Linked DNA regions of Alligator mississippiensis. The protein of the gene in region 2 interacts with the protein of the main gene of each other region in a pairwise test. Links are inferred from orthologs where the notes say so. Each region holds a gene or a part of one and is shown on either strand. Other genes may lie near its edges.

Evidence for each region.
Region 1: the proteins of KCTD17 (region 2) and DMC1 interact in binary tests that used the Homo sapiens proteins (3 or more experiments, as listed by UniProt). The two-hybrid records come from large-scale screens. The link is inferred for Alligator mississippiensis from reciprocal best matches to the Homo sapiens genes KCTD17 and DMC1.

Annotation. Positions count from the first base shown.
Region 1 is NC_081827.1:99,497,558-99,505,159, reverse strand, and holds the start of DMC1 (meiotic recombination protein DMC1/LIM15 homolog), read right to left. Parts: upstream 3,230-7,602; 5' UTR 2,800-3,229; intron 591-2,799; 5' UTR 558-590; coding exon 501-557; intron 1-500. UniProt on the Homo sapiens protein: Participates in meiotic recombination, specifically in homologous strand assimilation, which is required for the resolution of meiotic double-strand breaks.
Region 2 is NC_081827.1:100,594,460-100,602,396, forward strand, and holds the start of KCTD17 (BTB/POZ domain-containing protein KCTD17), read right to left. Parts: upstream 3,244-7,937; 5' UTR 3,210-3,243; coding exon 2,994-3,209; intron 1,400-2,993; coding exon 1,291-1,399; intron 1-1,290. UniProt on the Homo sapiens protein: Substrate-adapter for CUL3-RING ubiquitin ligase complexes which mediates the ubiquitination and subsequent proteasomal degradation of TCHP, a protein involved in ciliogenesis down-regulation.

The DNA.
Region 1 (7,602 bases), about 1.1 Mb from region 2:
GAGGAGTGCCTTGAGTCTTAACAGGTGGGCCCTTAAATCTAAAATAGGGTGAGAACCACTGATCTAGATAAAAAAAACCCTGAATCATGCTCAGGAACCCTACTAAGAAAACCTGTATTGTGTTTCTCTTCTTCTCTACTATGTTTCAGGTTGATGACTTCTTAATGTAAGATAAAAGGTTTCGTAATCCTCTTACATTTGCTATAAAATAGTAAACAGTGTATCAATTATAATAATGACCAGCCTATATAATTAATCTCTGTATGTGCTTCAAGAGGTTAATAGAAAATAAGGACCAAGATAGGGATAAGATTGATAAGAAAGTAAGGAAATGAGGTTTCCTTTGCTTTCAATTGTAATAACATTTTCAATACCAATTACATGTCTTTGGTGATTGCTCCCCTGCACCAAGGATATTCTGCTGAACTACATACCATTCTGTGTGATGCCCTTTGCCAGCATTTGTTATGTTATACATATTTTATGCTATTTATAAATACCTCATCATCCTGGTATCCTGGTTCTTCCTGTACCACCTGATCTTCCATGGCTTTCATAGCGAAAAAGCAATCAGTAAGGCTTAGTCAGTACTGAAAAAAGCAAACAAATACAGTATTATGGTGGAAACAGGTAAAGCGATTATTTATTTATTTATTAATATATTTTATTGATAAGCTGTCCTCCCCAAAAAGGCTGAGTGGCTTACAATAAAAACAAGGTAAATTATAAAAGCAAATAATATTAAGATAAACTAGTAAGTAATAAAACAACTCTCTAAACAAAACCCAGAACTGTACCCCAAAATTTAACCTGCTAAGAGTCTGCCAAAAGAAGGTTTTATGGATTATATGGTTATACTTTTAAAACATATCCTCTCCTAGCAATGCAGCTTCTCAAATCTAAATTCAGATTCTAAGATTGGTCCTTCATTGCCTGAGTTAATAGGGGCTGGATGTGTTGCAGTAGTACTTGGCACCCAAATAAATGATAGTACCTGTTGTGTTATTTTGAGATCACCCACTCTTGCCAGAATGATTTTTAGCAGGTTCCAAATAGACCTCATCCCTTGCAAGGGACATGGATCCAGATTTGAGTTTGGCCTGGGAAAAACTTAAATTATAAATTGAATTTGTTCTGATAGAAATGTAAAAATGAATCATTAGAGTAAGGTGTTATCTTCTATTAGCAATCCAATTCTCTGTCAGTAAAAAGTATGAATATTTTAAGAAAAGCTGATAACAATGAAATAATGACAAGAAAAAGAATGTATGCTTGGAAAAAATATCCTAATTAGGCTATTTGAATTTTTACATAAAAGACTATTTCTACTGTGTGTGGATCTAATGACTTCAGCCATAAGATTGATATTCACTTATAGCCTATTCTTCATATTTCTGGAAGAAGTTCTCCTTGCTACCAACCTAGCAGATCTGGAAAAAGTAAAGTCAGTGACAGGACTTTCCAGATCAACCTAAAGAGACTTTAACAATCTTGTCATGCCAAATATTGGAAGAAGACAAAAACAAAGGTACGAAATATTAGGGATGTTACAACCTCCTTCCCCACTTTTTTTTTTTAAGAATTAATTTCTTCTCTGTCCTGAAATGCATGATTCTGCATTTGTTGCATAACCAAAAAGTCCAAAGACTCCCTTTTGGCCACATGTTATTCTATAGGGAAGAAAAAGCAGGGAGAGCCAGGGCAATGTTTTTGCTCCAGTGGGAGATGTGGAACTATTCTGCACCCTTCAAAATCATATAGCAACGTTCATATTCCCCCTTTTCACTAAGGAGCCTTTCACTGCTCCTAATGAGGCAACATAAAGCTTCACCACACCATACTAGTTATCCCTAAAATTTTAAACAGAGCAACTCCACACATTAGACACAAAATGCATCCTGCTAGCTAATTTATTTTAAGGTGTATCTTTTCTTAAACGTGCATGATATGGGTTGTTTGCTTGGTAAACTGAGATCAGGAGAGTTCCAGGATTAGGGAGCAAAACAGAAATAAATAGAGAGGAAGGTGGGAGCAGACAAAAGCCTGAGACAGCACGTAGGTAAGTGCACAGGTGGGTAGTTTTGAGAAGAAACATGAATGCATGGGTATTACCACTGCTGATTGCCCCACACTTCACAGGATGTCTTCAGTGTATTTATTTATGTCTATATTTGATTTATATGCCACCCTTCCCAACAAAGGCTCACAGTGACTCATAACAAGAGATCAGAATAACTTAAAAACAGGAGAACAAGAGGGCAAAACCAATTTAAAAGGGAATTAAAACAACAGAACTCCTCCCCGCCCCCAACCTCTTGTCCTAGTGTTGTTTGGTGAATGCATGCCCAAACAGAAATGAAGGGGCACATCCCATATTTCCCACTTAGATGCAGGAAAGTATGGCATTATTTACTTATCGGTGTGAGAAAGACTGGCTTAAATACATAAATTGTGCTTGATGCCACAACTGCGATTAAAGCAGATAGAAATGTTGCCTCTCTTTTTTTTTGACAGCAGGGTCAGGCCCCTGGGGACCTTCCTCCTCTGGGTTGCCTTGAGATTTATGGTGATTGATTCACAGGGGAATGGAGGATGATGAATCTTTCCTTGGGCAGGGCAGCTTGCTTGGCTCTTATTTTCCGGAAGAGAGGGTAGATATGCACCACTGTAGACATCCTTAAATAAGATACATAGAGCACATACTTTGGTGAACCCACATTACCCTTCATTGGGAGCTATGAACATCTCATAAGGGAACATTTGGTTCACCAAAGCTTGTGCTCTGGAGATGCCTCTTACTGAGTTAGTCTGTAGGTAGGTGTGCACACCTACACTGCCCGCTGACTGACTGCAACCTAACACGCTGAACTACCTCCCTCTTGTTTTCCAGTCACGCCGCCACGGGCTGCCATTGACTTCCGTGTCTAACTGTCCACAAGCCCCAATTCCCGTTTAAAACAAGGGGCATCAGTGACCGACGCCTGCTCTACAACCCCGAGGTGGCACGTGCCTCTTGCTTCCCTCAGTCAGGGACGCCACCCCGCAAAGCCCAGAGCCTGGTCACGTGACTCGGAGCCGAGCCCAGCCCCCTCCCTGACCGTTGATTCGTTTTATTTCAACTGCGAAGACAAACTGAGAACCCTTTTCCCGCCAAGAAAAAAAACCCACGAAAAATCGCCTAGTCGGCGATTTACGGCCACTGCCTCCCGCCCTCGAGCCAAGGGGCGGAGCCACAATGCCGCGCGGGCTCTGCCCCGCCCCACCCCCTGCGCGCGCAGCCCACCCCTGCCTCCGCCCCCCACTTGTGTCAGTGAGCGGGCGTTGGTTTTTCCCCGTGTGGCGCATTCCCTGCTGGAGCCTCTCCTGCATCTCATTAAGGCGCGTGGCTGGCTCCTGTTGAGGGAGGAGGGTTGTCGTCCCTTCCACGTTATGCACGTGTAGAAGAGCCCTGTCAGACCTTGCTTCAGAGAGTGAAACAGACAGCCGGTAGTCAAAACTGCAGGGACCTCACCATTGAAAGACCCCATCTGATCTTTGCATTTCCAAGAAAGGCCAAGGCATGGCAGGAGGGTACCTCAGGGGCTAACAGAGACCTGGTGGGATTCATCCCACGACTGGGCGGTACATATTGAGGGCTATAGATTGTACAGAAAGGACAGGTCGGGGAAGAAAGGGGGGGGGGTTGCACTTTATGTCAGTGAGCAATATACATCAGCCCTCATCAAGACAGAATCCAAGGTTGAGGAAGTAGAAGGATTGTGGGTTAGGCTACATGGGGGGCAAGGAGAAAGGGATTTGGTGGTAGGGGTCTGCTACAGACCCCCACACCAAGGGGAAGAAATAGATGCGGGGCTCCTGAGGCAACTCTCGGAGACCATAAAAGCTAAAGAGGCGGTAGTCATGGGGGACCTAAACTACCCCGACATCTGCTGGGAGACACAGACAGCAAAGTCCCACCGCTCACGCAGGTTTCTAACCTGTATACAGGACCTCCACCTGACACAGGAGGTGCATGGTCCCACTAGGGGGAATGCCATACTGGATCTGGTATTGGCAACGGGATGACATGATAGGGGACCTCCAGATCGGTAGCCATTTGGGAGACAGTGATCACCTAATAATAGAATTCAACATAAGACGTCGAGTGGGTAAGGTAACTAGTAGGGTGAAAGTGCTAGACTTTAGGAAAGCTGATCTCAATGCACTCAGGCGATTAGTCAAGGACGCACTGCAGAGTAGGAGCTTTGAAGGGATGGGAGCCCAAGAAGGGTGGCTGTGCCTTAAGGAAACGATCCTTTGGGCACAAAGCAAGACGATCCCCGAGTGAGGCAAAAAAGGGAAAGGGGCCAGGAGGCTTCCATGGCTGACCAGAGAAATCCAGGGCAGCCTAAGGGCCAAAAGGGGAGCACATAAAAAGTGGAAACAGGGTGAGATCACTAAAGATGAATATACCTCCTCTGCTCGTGCTTGTAGGGAGGCAGTTAGGCGGGCCAAAGCTACCATGGAGCTGAGGATGGCAACCCAAGTAAAAGACAACAAGAAATTGTTTTTTAGATATATTGGGAGTAAAAGGAAGGCCCAGGGAGGAATAGGACCACTGCTAAATGGGCAGAAACAATTGGTGACAGACAGGGGGGACAAGGCTGAACTCCTCAACGAGTTCTTTGCCTCAGTGTTCCTAAGTGAGGGGCACGACAAGTGTCTCACTGGGGTTGTAGAGAGGCAGCAGCAAGGCGCCAGACTTCCATACGTAGACCCTGAGATGGTGCAGAGTCACTTGGAAGAACTGGATGCCTTTAAGTCGGCAGGCCCGGGTGAGCTCCATCCGAGGGTGCTGAAGGCACTGGCCGACATCATTGCAGAGCCACTGGCGGGAATATTCGAACGCTCGTGGCGCACGGGCCAAGTCCCAGAGGACTGGAAAAGGGCTAACGTGGTCACCATTTTCAAAAAGGGGAGGAAGGAGGACCCGGGCAACTATAGGCCAGTCAGTCTCACCTCCATCCTTGGTAAAGTCTTTGAAAAAATTATCAAGGCTCACATTTGTGAGAGCCTGGCAGGGCAAATTATGCTGAGGGGAAACCAGCACGGGTTTGTGGTGGGCAGATCGTGCCTGACTAATCTAGTCTCTTTCTATGACCAGGTTACGAAACGCCTGGACACAGGAGGAGGGGTGGATGTCGTATACTTAGACTTCAGGAAGGCCTTCGATACGGTATCCCACCCCATACTGGTGAACAAGTTAAGAGGCTGTGATGTGGATGACTACACAGTCCGGTGGGTGGCGAATTGGCTAGAGGGTCGCACCCAAAGAGTCGTGGTGGATGGGTCGGTCTCGACCTGGAAGGGTGTGGGCAGTGGGGTCCTGCAGGGCTCAGTCCTTGGACCGATACTCTTTAATGTCTTCATCAGTGACTTGGACGAGGGAGTCAAATGTACTCTGTCCAAGTTTGCAGATGACACAAAGCTATGGGGAGAAGTGGACACGCCGGAGGGCAGGGAACAGCTGCAGGCAGACCTGGATAGGTTGGACAAGTGGGCAGAAAACAACAGGATGCAGTTCAACAAGGAGAAATGCAAAGTGCTGCACCTAGGGAGGAAAAATGTCCAGCACACCTACAGCCTAGGGAATGACCTGCTGGGTGGCACAGGGGTGGAAAGGGATCTTGGAGTCCTAGTGGACTCCAAGATGAACATGAGCCGGCAGTGTGACGAAGCCATCAGAAAAGCCAATGGCGCTTTATCGTGCATCAGCAGATGCATGACGAATAGGTCCAGGGAGGTGATACTTCCCCTCTATAGGGCGCTGGTCAGACCACAGTTGGAGTACTGCGTGCAATTCTGGGCACCGCACTTCAAGAAGGATGCAGATAACCTGGAGAGGGTCCAGAGAAGGGCCACTCGTATGGTTAAGGGCCTGCAGACCAAGCCCTACGAGGAGAGACTAGAGAAACTGGACCTTTTCAGCCTCCGCAAGAGAAGGTTGAGAGGCGACCTGGTGGCTGCCTTTAAGTTCATCACGGGGGCACAGAAGGGAATTGGTGAGTATTTATTCACCAAGGCGCCCCCGGGGGTTTCAAGAAACAATGGCCACAAGCTAGCAGAGAGCAGATTTAGATTGGACATTAGGAAGAACTTCTTCACAGTTCGAGTGGCCAAGGTCTGGAACGGGCTCCCAAGGGAGGTGGTGCTCTCCCCTACCCTGGGGGTCTTCAAGAGGAGGTTAGATAAGTATCTAGCTGGGGTCATCTAGACCCAGCACTCTTTCCTGCTTATGCAGGGGGTCGGTCTCGATGATCTATTGAGGTCCCTTCCGACCCTAACATCTATGAATCTATGAATCTTAGAGCAGTGATTCTCAGCTCCAGGGCACCCCGGGGTGCCTCGAAGTCCTTGTAAGGGTGCTGCAAGAGTGTTGCACTGTGGTAGCACTGTTGGGTGTGCACACACACCTGATTCACAAAATAAGCCCAGAGATTTCAAAAAGGAATCCATAATCTTAAAAGCAGCCTGACCCCTTATGATCTTCATGAGGTCTTTGCAGCAGTAGATTTGCTCTTTTTTTCTGTCATCAAAAAATGAGCAAAAACGAAGAGCTGGAGGAATGCCTTGAGTATAACAAGGGGTGACCGCCTTGAGCCTGTAAAGGTTGAAAACTACTGTCTTAAGGGCGTGTGTAGACGAAACGGCGGCCCTAAACTGAAGCGGTGGGTTTTTTCAAACAGTGCCCTTAATTTAGTGCCCTTTAAACACTTGTGTTGCGCACACACTGATTTAGCTGCTTCTTTGGTAGCGGGGAGGGGAGGGTGAGCTGCCGGCAGGCAGAGCAGTCCCTGGGCTGCAGGAGGGGGCTGACGTTGCCCTTTATAGTAGCAGCGCCCTCCCCACCATGGCCCCTGCCTGCAGGCACTCAGCTAGGGCAGCTCAGGCAAGCAAGCAGGCTCCAGGAGGGGGGGAAAAAAAGATCAGGCTCGCCACTTTCCTTGGGCGGAACCTGTCTTCCCAAGCTGCTGCCGGGCTGCCTGCAGGACATCCTGCAGAGCTGCACGGAGCCCAGTGCTTCGCTCCTTTGCTGTAGGGGCAGCCGACTAAAACTCAGGCCTCAAGTCATTTAAGGCACGTTACATGGCCGAATTTCCTACAGTGGCTGGAATTAATGCACAATATGCCGCCAATGCATACAAATACCGATACAAAGCAGTGCGAAAGCATTTAGCCGGCTTTAAAGTGTCATGTACACGTGCCCGTCGTTTCATCTACACACAGCCTAAGTGCGTCTACATGTTGCCTTATGTCGCTGTAGCAACGCGTTATGGCGATGTTGCGATCATGCGAGTCTCCACATGATCAGCAGCTACTCTGCTATAGCAGCGCACTCCCCCATTTTAGCCCGCTTTTGCAGTGCTGTAGTGGTGAAAAATAACCGCACAGTGTACAGCACAGTACAAGTAGTTACTGCATTATTCTTTAGTACTTCCAAGAGCAAGCACTAAAGCATGGCACAGTAACAACAACAAAGGTGACATGTAGACACCCCCCCCGGAACTAACTGGTTCAGAGACATGAGCTTTTATAGATAGCAACCTGTTTCTCTGACAAAGC
Region 2 (7,937 bases):
TTCAGTATCATCTGCAAACTTGGACAGAGTACACTTCACACCCACATCCAAGTCACCAATGAAGACATTGAAGAGTACAGGTCCAAGGACCGAGCCCTGCAGGCCCCACTGCCTACATGCTTCCAGGTCAATACTGACCCATCCACCACCACACTCTGGGAATACCCCCCTATCCTGGCTGTGATTCCAGAAAGGGGGCACTGTTCAATGAGCTCTGAACCCAGGCCCACTGCTCACTTTCCCAGGGAGAGAAAGGCTCTCATTATGGGGTACACAACCTGCTCCCTCTGATTTACTGACTGAGGAGGTTGATTATAAGCCCCTGGCTACCTTTCTGAGGGCTTCACTTTGGCCCTTGGTTACTGTCCTGAGGGCTTCATTCAGCGGCCACTGAATACACTCTCAGTTTCTCTTCTGCAGAGTTCTATATGCTCAAGAGTGAGACCTGATTTCACTTCTTGTCATTGTCCTAGGACTACAGGAATTTGAGTTTTCCCATCTGGTCCCTGTCCTTCAGTGACCTTTGTCTTGCTGATCTCAGAACTGAATTGTGCTTTACCTCAAAGCAGATCAACAAAGATTTGTGTTTCACTTTAAGCTACTGTGTTTGCATCTGGCCCCTCTCCTGAGACACACGTGATCATGTTGCTAACAGGCCTGTGGGAGAGGGTAGGTGGGGGGCATGGTACCTAATGGGTCCACAAGGGGCAATGATGTCTCAAAAACAACCTTCACAGATTCCCTGGTCAGTATGCAGACATGGCAGGCAAGTGAGATTTGTCTGACCTCACCCTTCCCACTTTAACCCACTCAGAGCTTTTCATCCTCCTACCTTCCTAGTGGAAAAAGTGGAAGGGTGAGAAGGGACTGAGTGACAAAGCAGTCTCAGCCAAACAGGGCTCAAACCCTGTCAGGTTGCATTGGAGAAGGCCACCTGCATCCTATTTGATAATTCAGCAGGGAACTTACTATCCCTTTGACCACAGTGACCTTGTTGCTCCTTTCCCATCTCTTCTGATCCCCAGTAACTGCAACAGCCCATTCAACCAGCGGAGCAGTGATGGGGACACCAGCTTGTTCAAGGGTTGGACTCAAACTGGGCTTCCCTCACCATCCTAGTGGGCACTCCCTCCCAAGCACTTATTCAGTGTATCAAATGAAAACTGACCCATTTTCAAGACAGCAGAATGGAATGAGGTCAGGGAATTAGGGCAAAGAGCATGTAATGTAACCCACTTCCAGCAGCAGGGAGAGGTGTTAAGAAGGAAGTTTGGGGTTTCTAAGACTCACCCTCTTCAGCCATATCTTTATCCAGTACCAGCTTGCCATGACGGAGAAAATTCAGGATAGGTCCAAAGTATGTGGGGTCCCGGTCTATGAGGTAGGCACCAGTCTCATCCTAACCACAGAGACAAGCCAACATAGGAAAAATGTACAAGGGAAACTTGTCCCCATCCCTGACAACACCATGCAATGAACTGTAATAACATAATAATTTTAGTAACAATATATGATATTTCTATGGCTCTTTTGAGTAGTAGTAAAGACATGGCAATGGAGCTGGGTTCAGTTCTCTTGGCTATGCAATCTTGGGACATTTACCACAATCTCTCTGTGCCTCAGCTTCCCTATGAAAGATGAAGATGATGCTACCTCCCTTCTTTAAGAGATTTGAGATGAAGAAAACCATAAGCATTAGGCCTCTTAAATCCTTCCGAATCACATAGGCATACAGTACCATATAGAAAAACAGCCACATCTGAGTGAAGGGCTGCTGGTAAATGCTGCAGACAACAGTGCTACAAATACACAAGCTCAGGTACTTTGGCAAAGTCAGCATCAAAGCCAAGCAGCCCATCAGGCCAACACAGTTAAAGCACTCCAGTTTCTGCAGCCAACAGAGGGACATTATGTTCAGCTGCTTCTGGTTCTCCTGCCTAAACGAACAAGTACATATTTACAGCTGGTTCAACAGGAACAGATTCCAGCACAAGTCCAGCATGAGGCTCAAACACACAGCTTCAGGTTCACAGCAAGATGCCTTAACTACTATGTTATCATACTTTGCTTGGCAAAGCATGCTGGGTCAAAACAGTACCCAGGATTTTTAACTTTCATACAGAGCAAGCGGGACCTTGATTGTAAAGGTCTCACTATCCTAAGCTCAGCCCCGCAGCAAAAGAGACAATACTCTTACTTTTTCTCCCTCTGATAAACTGAAAGGATCTAGGAAACTCCTGCACAGATTTGAGCTGATGGGCTTCCTGACATTTCAGGCCTGAAGCTGCCACCCCTCCAAACTCTCCCTTCTGATTGATAAGGCTTTCTGGGAGCTTTACTACATTTCCCTGTCAGTAACAGCAAGAATCAAAAATAAAAAGTCGGGGACTCTCCACTCAGCATGGCTCCTACCTTGACAGTCGCATGAAGGCAAGGAGGATGGGAAGCTCTTAATTTTGGCTGTACTCGGCAAAGCTATTTCTCCTGTCAGGCTTCAGCTTAAAGTCTGAGCCAAGCAGTGGCTCAAAGCTAGGGCACTTCAGGTGGAGTAGTGACAGCACAAGAAAACAGAGCCTCTCTGGAGTTGCTGGTAGTTCTGGTGCAGAAGACAGGTGTTATGCCACATGTTAAGACAGCTGCATGGCACTAAAAAGAGAAAACCAGGGGATCCAGGGAGGGATGAAGGTCTCTCCATCAAATTACATCTGCCCCTCTGCAGCCGCAGAGATGCTGTGCCCTCCCTGCCATCAGCCTGGCTCCATCCCTTTCTCTCCTATTCCTGCACCGAACCTTTCTCTGCCCGTGTGCTCCTTTCCCTCTCTCCTCTTTTCCTCGTGCCTCCCAGCCCAGCCTGTGCAGAGCTTTGTCTCTCCCTCAGGGGTCCCTTTCTTCCCAGATGGGTACAAGAAGAAGGCAGAACACAACCGCATGCACGCACACACGATGCCAGGCAGAAAGCTACCCCTCAGGGCAGGTGCCAGCCTGATGCTTACCTGGTCCGACTGCAGCTCCTCCCCCTGGCACAAGCGGCACAGGAATGATTTCTGTTCCCGGCACAGGGTCTGCCTCGTGGTTAGGAAGATGGTGCCCCCAACATTCAGCCGTACCCACTTGCCCCTGCTGCTGGTGGCAGGGGGAGGCTGGTGAGTTTCCCAGGCATAAGAAACCCTTTCTGCCCGTTGCATTTCCTCCCTTCCTTCCATCCTCATCTCTCCCTCTCTCTGTCTCTCTCTGTCCCTCCCCTGCTCCTAAGCTAAAGAAACCAAGGCAGGTATTGGACACTGGAGGATTCTGGGACCTGTAGTTCCTGAGGTGGCCTGCACCCCAGAGGTGGCCGCATTTCAGTGGTGCTGTACATACACAGCTTCTTAAATGCTATGGGATCTTTTGGGAAGATAGATGCTGGATGAATGCCGTATCTACTGTTCTTGGTGAATGGCACAAGAAGCAAAAGTGAGATCCACAATCTGAACCACTGCTATCATTCAGAGGGCATTAGGATCACGGTTTTTGCTTACAGCCCTTCTCTAATTTTTATGAGTGTACTTGCTATACAGCACTTTGAAGAGGCAAAGTAATATGTAAAAAACTTTAGCTGTCAGGTGAGTGAGGGTCTCTCTGAAAATGGGCACCTAGGAATTCTGGGAACTGTAGTTTTCCATGTCCCACCATGCCTGCAACCCATGATGGGTGGACTTGGGAGATGCTGAGAAGTGCAGTGTAACACATCCCACTAACCCTGCTGTGGGACACCAAAGGGCTCTAGAAGCTGGCCTCCAGATCTGGGTCACAAATGCAGTGTGCTTTGAATGGAGGAGAAAACTGCTGTGCCCATCTGCCAAATAGTGTTATCCCTTCCAGTGCCTGCAGGACAGTCACCTTTCCTGTTCCTGATTCCCCAAACAGGTATCTGACTGCTATCTCAGTCACTGCAGTGCTGTTGAAGTAGAGAAGTTGGACAATTTCCTTCTCTGAAGTGGGTGGTTTTAAGAGAGGGAAATTAGCCTTCAGCAGCAAAGCCCAAGTTCTTTATATTTCTCTCTGACTCAGAACAGCCATCTATCTACTTGGCAAATTTTCCCTAATCTGCTACCGTTCCAACACCTCTAAATCTGCCTGGCAGAGACTCCTTCGTGGGGGGGAAGGAAAATGAGTCTCCATGTTCACTTAGTCACAGGGCTTTGCTGCTACCACACACACACACACACACACATACTCTCCAGTGTACCTCTGGAATGATGTAGCACCTTCTAAAAGTTTCTACCTCTAGCTCTTCTGAATGCCCCATTCTAGGCAGTGGTTGTGGGAAAGAAAAGACCAGCTTCATCAGCAATTTAGTTGCATGGATTCCAAGACTTAAGCAAAACACGAATGCTTTATCTATCCCACAACCCAGCGTCTACCACACCCTACTAACCAACTACAGCCACGCCTGCCAATCTTTCAAACCGTATTCATATCAGGAAGAAAAATGCTGATTGCTTCCCTCCCTTAGTCTGACACAGTCTATATCTTCTCTTACCTCTTTTCCAAATAGGTTTCTGACCTTTGGTAGTGCAACACACAAAATGCAGCAGCATAGACATTTTAATTTATCATGTCCAAATGTTGCCTTTCCAGTCCAGGCTGTTGCTACACCATGATATGCATGCTCTAGCTTTTGTTCTAATCAAGGATATGCATCTATATATTAATAACAGTGTTTGCAGGAATGGTGCTCAACCTTTTTAAGGCACCTCTTGGAAAATACTGGCTTTTAGTTTTCATTCTTTTTTGAGTATGGGAAAATAATAGAGCCATTTTTCTGTTGCAAATAAATCATATAGACCACAACAGGTCAGAATGTTTTTAACATTATGGATACCTAGTTGAAATCACTGGGTTTATCTTGTGAATCATTCTTGTACACCGAACAGTGCTACCTTTGTGTAGCACCCTACAACACCCTTGAAAGAAACTCACGGTACTCCAGGATGCCATCATTGCCTTAGGCGCTTTTGCTGATGTAATCGGGCACCAAACCCCTTCAAAATCATGTTGCAGTGCTAGATGTTAATATCTGAACAGAAATCACAGGCCTGACTGTGCACCTTCAAGGTGTTTGCAAAATTGGGCTGTGCTTTTCAGGCCAGCAAGTAGTGTATTGGGTGAGCATGGGCAGACTAGCATTACTTTGGGCTATACTGATTGCTCTAGGATAGTCTGTGAGGAAATTAAGGGATTAATAGCAAAGAAATTATGTTCTGGGAAGAAGAGAGAGGGATGGGAGGGGCAGAAAGCAGGAACAGGGAATTGTAGGACTGCTACTGGAGGATTTCCTATGCTTATTAGGCCTGTGTGAGTCAGCAGCAATCTGATCCGGCTTCAGATCTGGCCGCTTCGGATGGCCGCGATCCGATCTGGAACTCCGACTGGGTTCCCGCCTCCATCCAGCCAAAGCATCGGAGCCACCTCGGAGATCTGGCCATAGGGTATAATGGGGAATCAATGAAATATCTATAACTTTGTTGTTTTTTGTCTGATTTGGATGAACCTTGCAGGGATGGTAGCCTCTCCTGAGAGCATGAAACCTGCCACGTTTCAAGAAGATCAGTGCAAGGGTTTGGGAGGAACTGTACCCCAAATTCTTGAAAGCCAAACTCCTGTCATGTCTATGTGTTACAATGGGGTTGGGGGGTGGGGGGGGTGAAAACTGCAGGACTGGTAGCTCGTACTGTGTCCACAAAGCCTGCCAAGTTTCAAGGAGATCGGTGCAGGGGCTTGGTGGGAACTGCACCTCAAGCTGTGGTCAAGCAAAACTCATGCCATGGGTGATACTGTGCGCGCTAAGGCGCAGCGGGGTGACAGCTGCAGGGATGGTGGCCCCTGCTGTGGCCACGACGCCTGCCAGCTGGAGGAGATCGGTGCAGGCAGGTCTGGGGCCCTGCATCCCTAGCTGCTGACAGACAAAACTGTGCCAAGACTGTCTGTGTCTTGGGTTAGTTGATTGTCTGCTTTGATTCTTTCCTCTCCTTAGCCTGGGTTTGTAGGTGCTAATTGATGCTCGTTAAGTCGTTATGTAGTAGCTAGGTCCTGTGTATTGAGCTGGGCCCTGAGGCCCTGGTCCCTGAGAGAATCATGGATTGATTGGTAAGGGGGAACCCAGCAGCTTAGCAGCCAGGCCTGCAGCAGCAGTCTCCCCTCCCTGTCCCAAGACAGACACAGTCAGTCCCACAAGCACCCATGGCACCAGTTTTTCTTGTCTGCAGTTTGAGGGGCAGTTCCCCCCAACCCCCTGCACCGATCTTCTTGAAACTTGGCAGGCTTTGTGGCCTCAGTAAGAGCTACCAGCCCTGCAGTTTTCACCCCCATGTTGTAAGACATAGACGTGACATGAGTTTTGCTTTCAAGAATTTGAGGTACAGTTGCCCCAAAACCCCTGCACTGCTCTTCTTGAAACTTGGAAGGATTCATCCTACCTGCAGAGTCTACCACCCCTAAAAATGTCATCTAAATTGGACAAAAAACAACAAAGTTATAGGTATTTTATTGTTTCCCCATTATACCCTATGGCTGGATTTCCGAGACGGCTCCGAGACAGCTCCAAATCGCTTCGTGAAGCCTAATGAGGCCAGTGCTTCGACCCGGATCTGCCGCTTCAGACCCCGAAGCATCTGAATCTTCTCTGGATCCAAAGCTCTGTCCAAAGCCTCACACAGCCCTAGTGCATATACGCTGTAGCTTGTGGCTACAGGGTGACTACACCGAAAAATTAGGCTTGACTGTCTGGAGTCTGGGGACCCAGGAGTGCTGGGAGTTGACTACTGAGGTTCTGAATGTGTCTGGTTAGGGAGCATTGGCATATATATCTGGGCTTGCCCAAACTATCAGCACATATATATCCAGACATATGATGAGCTCACAATGAAAAGAGCAAGCCAGCAGCACCCTGACTTGCTAAGTGAGCACAGACTCTGGTTATTTTTCTCTTGAGATGACACCAATTCTAACTTGTTGCTTCCCTATAGAGTTGGGACATTAGCTCTTTTAAATGACTTTGAGAAAGGGTGTGAATTAAACAGAGATGCTGATGAGGCTGCATGTGGTACCTGTCCCCTTCACTGTCAGGGAAGGCAGTGGAAGCTTTTGCCAAGTGCCTGAGGAGGTCTGCGGCAATCTTAAACTTTGTAAAATAGCTCTGCTACCAAAGGTGATGCTGACATACAAAACAGAGAGAAACTATAGAGGGAGTGAGCTGAGAAGAGGGGATACAGTTATGCTGGAATGGCTACAAGAAAGAGGTTCCCCCTCTGAAAAGGAGGAAATAGGGGAAAATAGGGGAGAGTTACAATCTTTCAAGAGGCTTCTGAGTGTGGAACAGATCCAGAACCTGCCCCAAGACTGAAAGGATATGTGCATCATAGGGGAATGTGCAGATGGTTCAAAGACAGCCTAAAGAGGAGTGTCCCAGACATGAGATCCAGGTAAAGGGAGAGGAAGGTGCTCTAAACTGAGGGCATGTGGGCATGCCTATGGCAAGTGGGAGAGGCATCCCTCAACTGACTCCTGACATTTTATCGCCTGATGTAACCTCTCCCAGGGACTGGGGCACGAAGGACCCCGAGCCACATGCCCTAGGGTTAGTGCATCATAGCAGCCCGAGCAGAGCAGGTGAGATGCTGCTCTTCAGGTGCAGGTGCTCTGAATGCAAGGCCAGAGCAGGTAAATAATCTGCAATCAGACCCAGGATCAACAAGAGGTACCAGTCAATGTGGTGATATCTGAGGGATGGAAGTACATGAAAGCTGCCCATGCTTGGTCAAACCCTGCATGGTACCCTTCAATAACATCGCTGTCACAGTTCCAAGGTTAACTACATAAATAATCCTTTTATGGCATTCTCAAGAGCAGCTGATTAGATCTTGGGTCTCTGGCTGTCACCTGTTTTTGGAACAGAA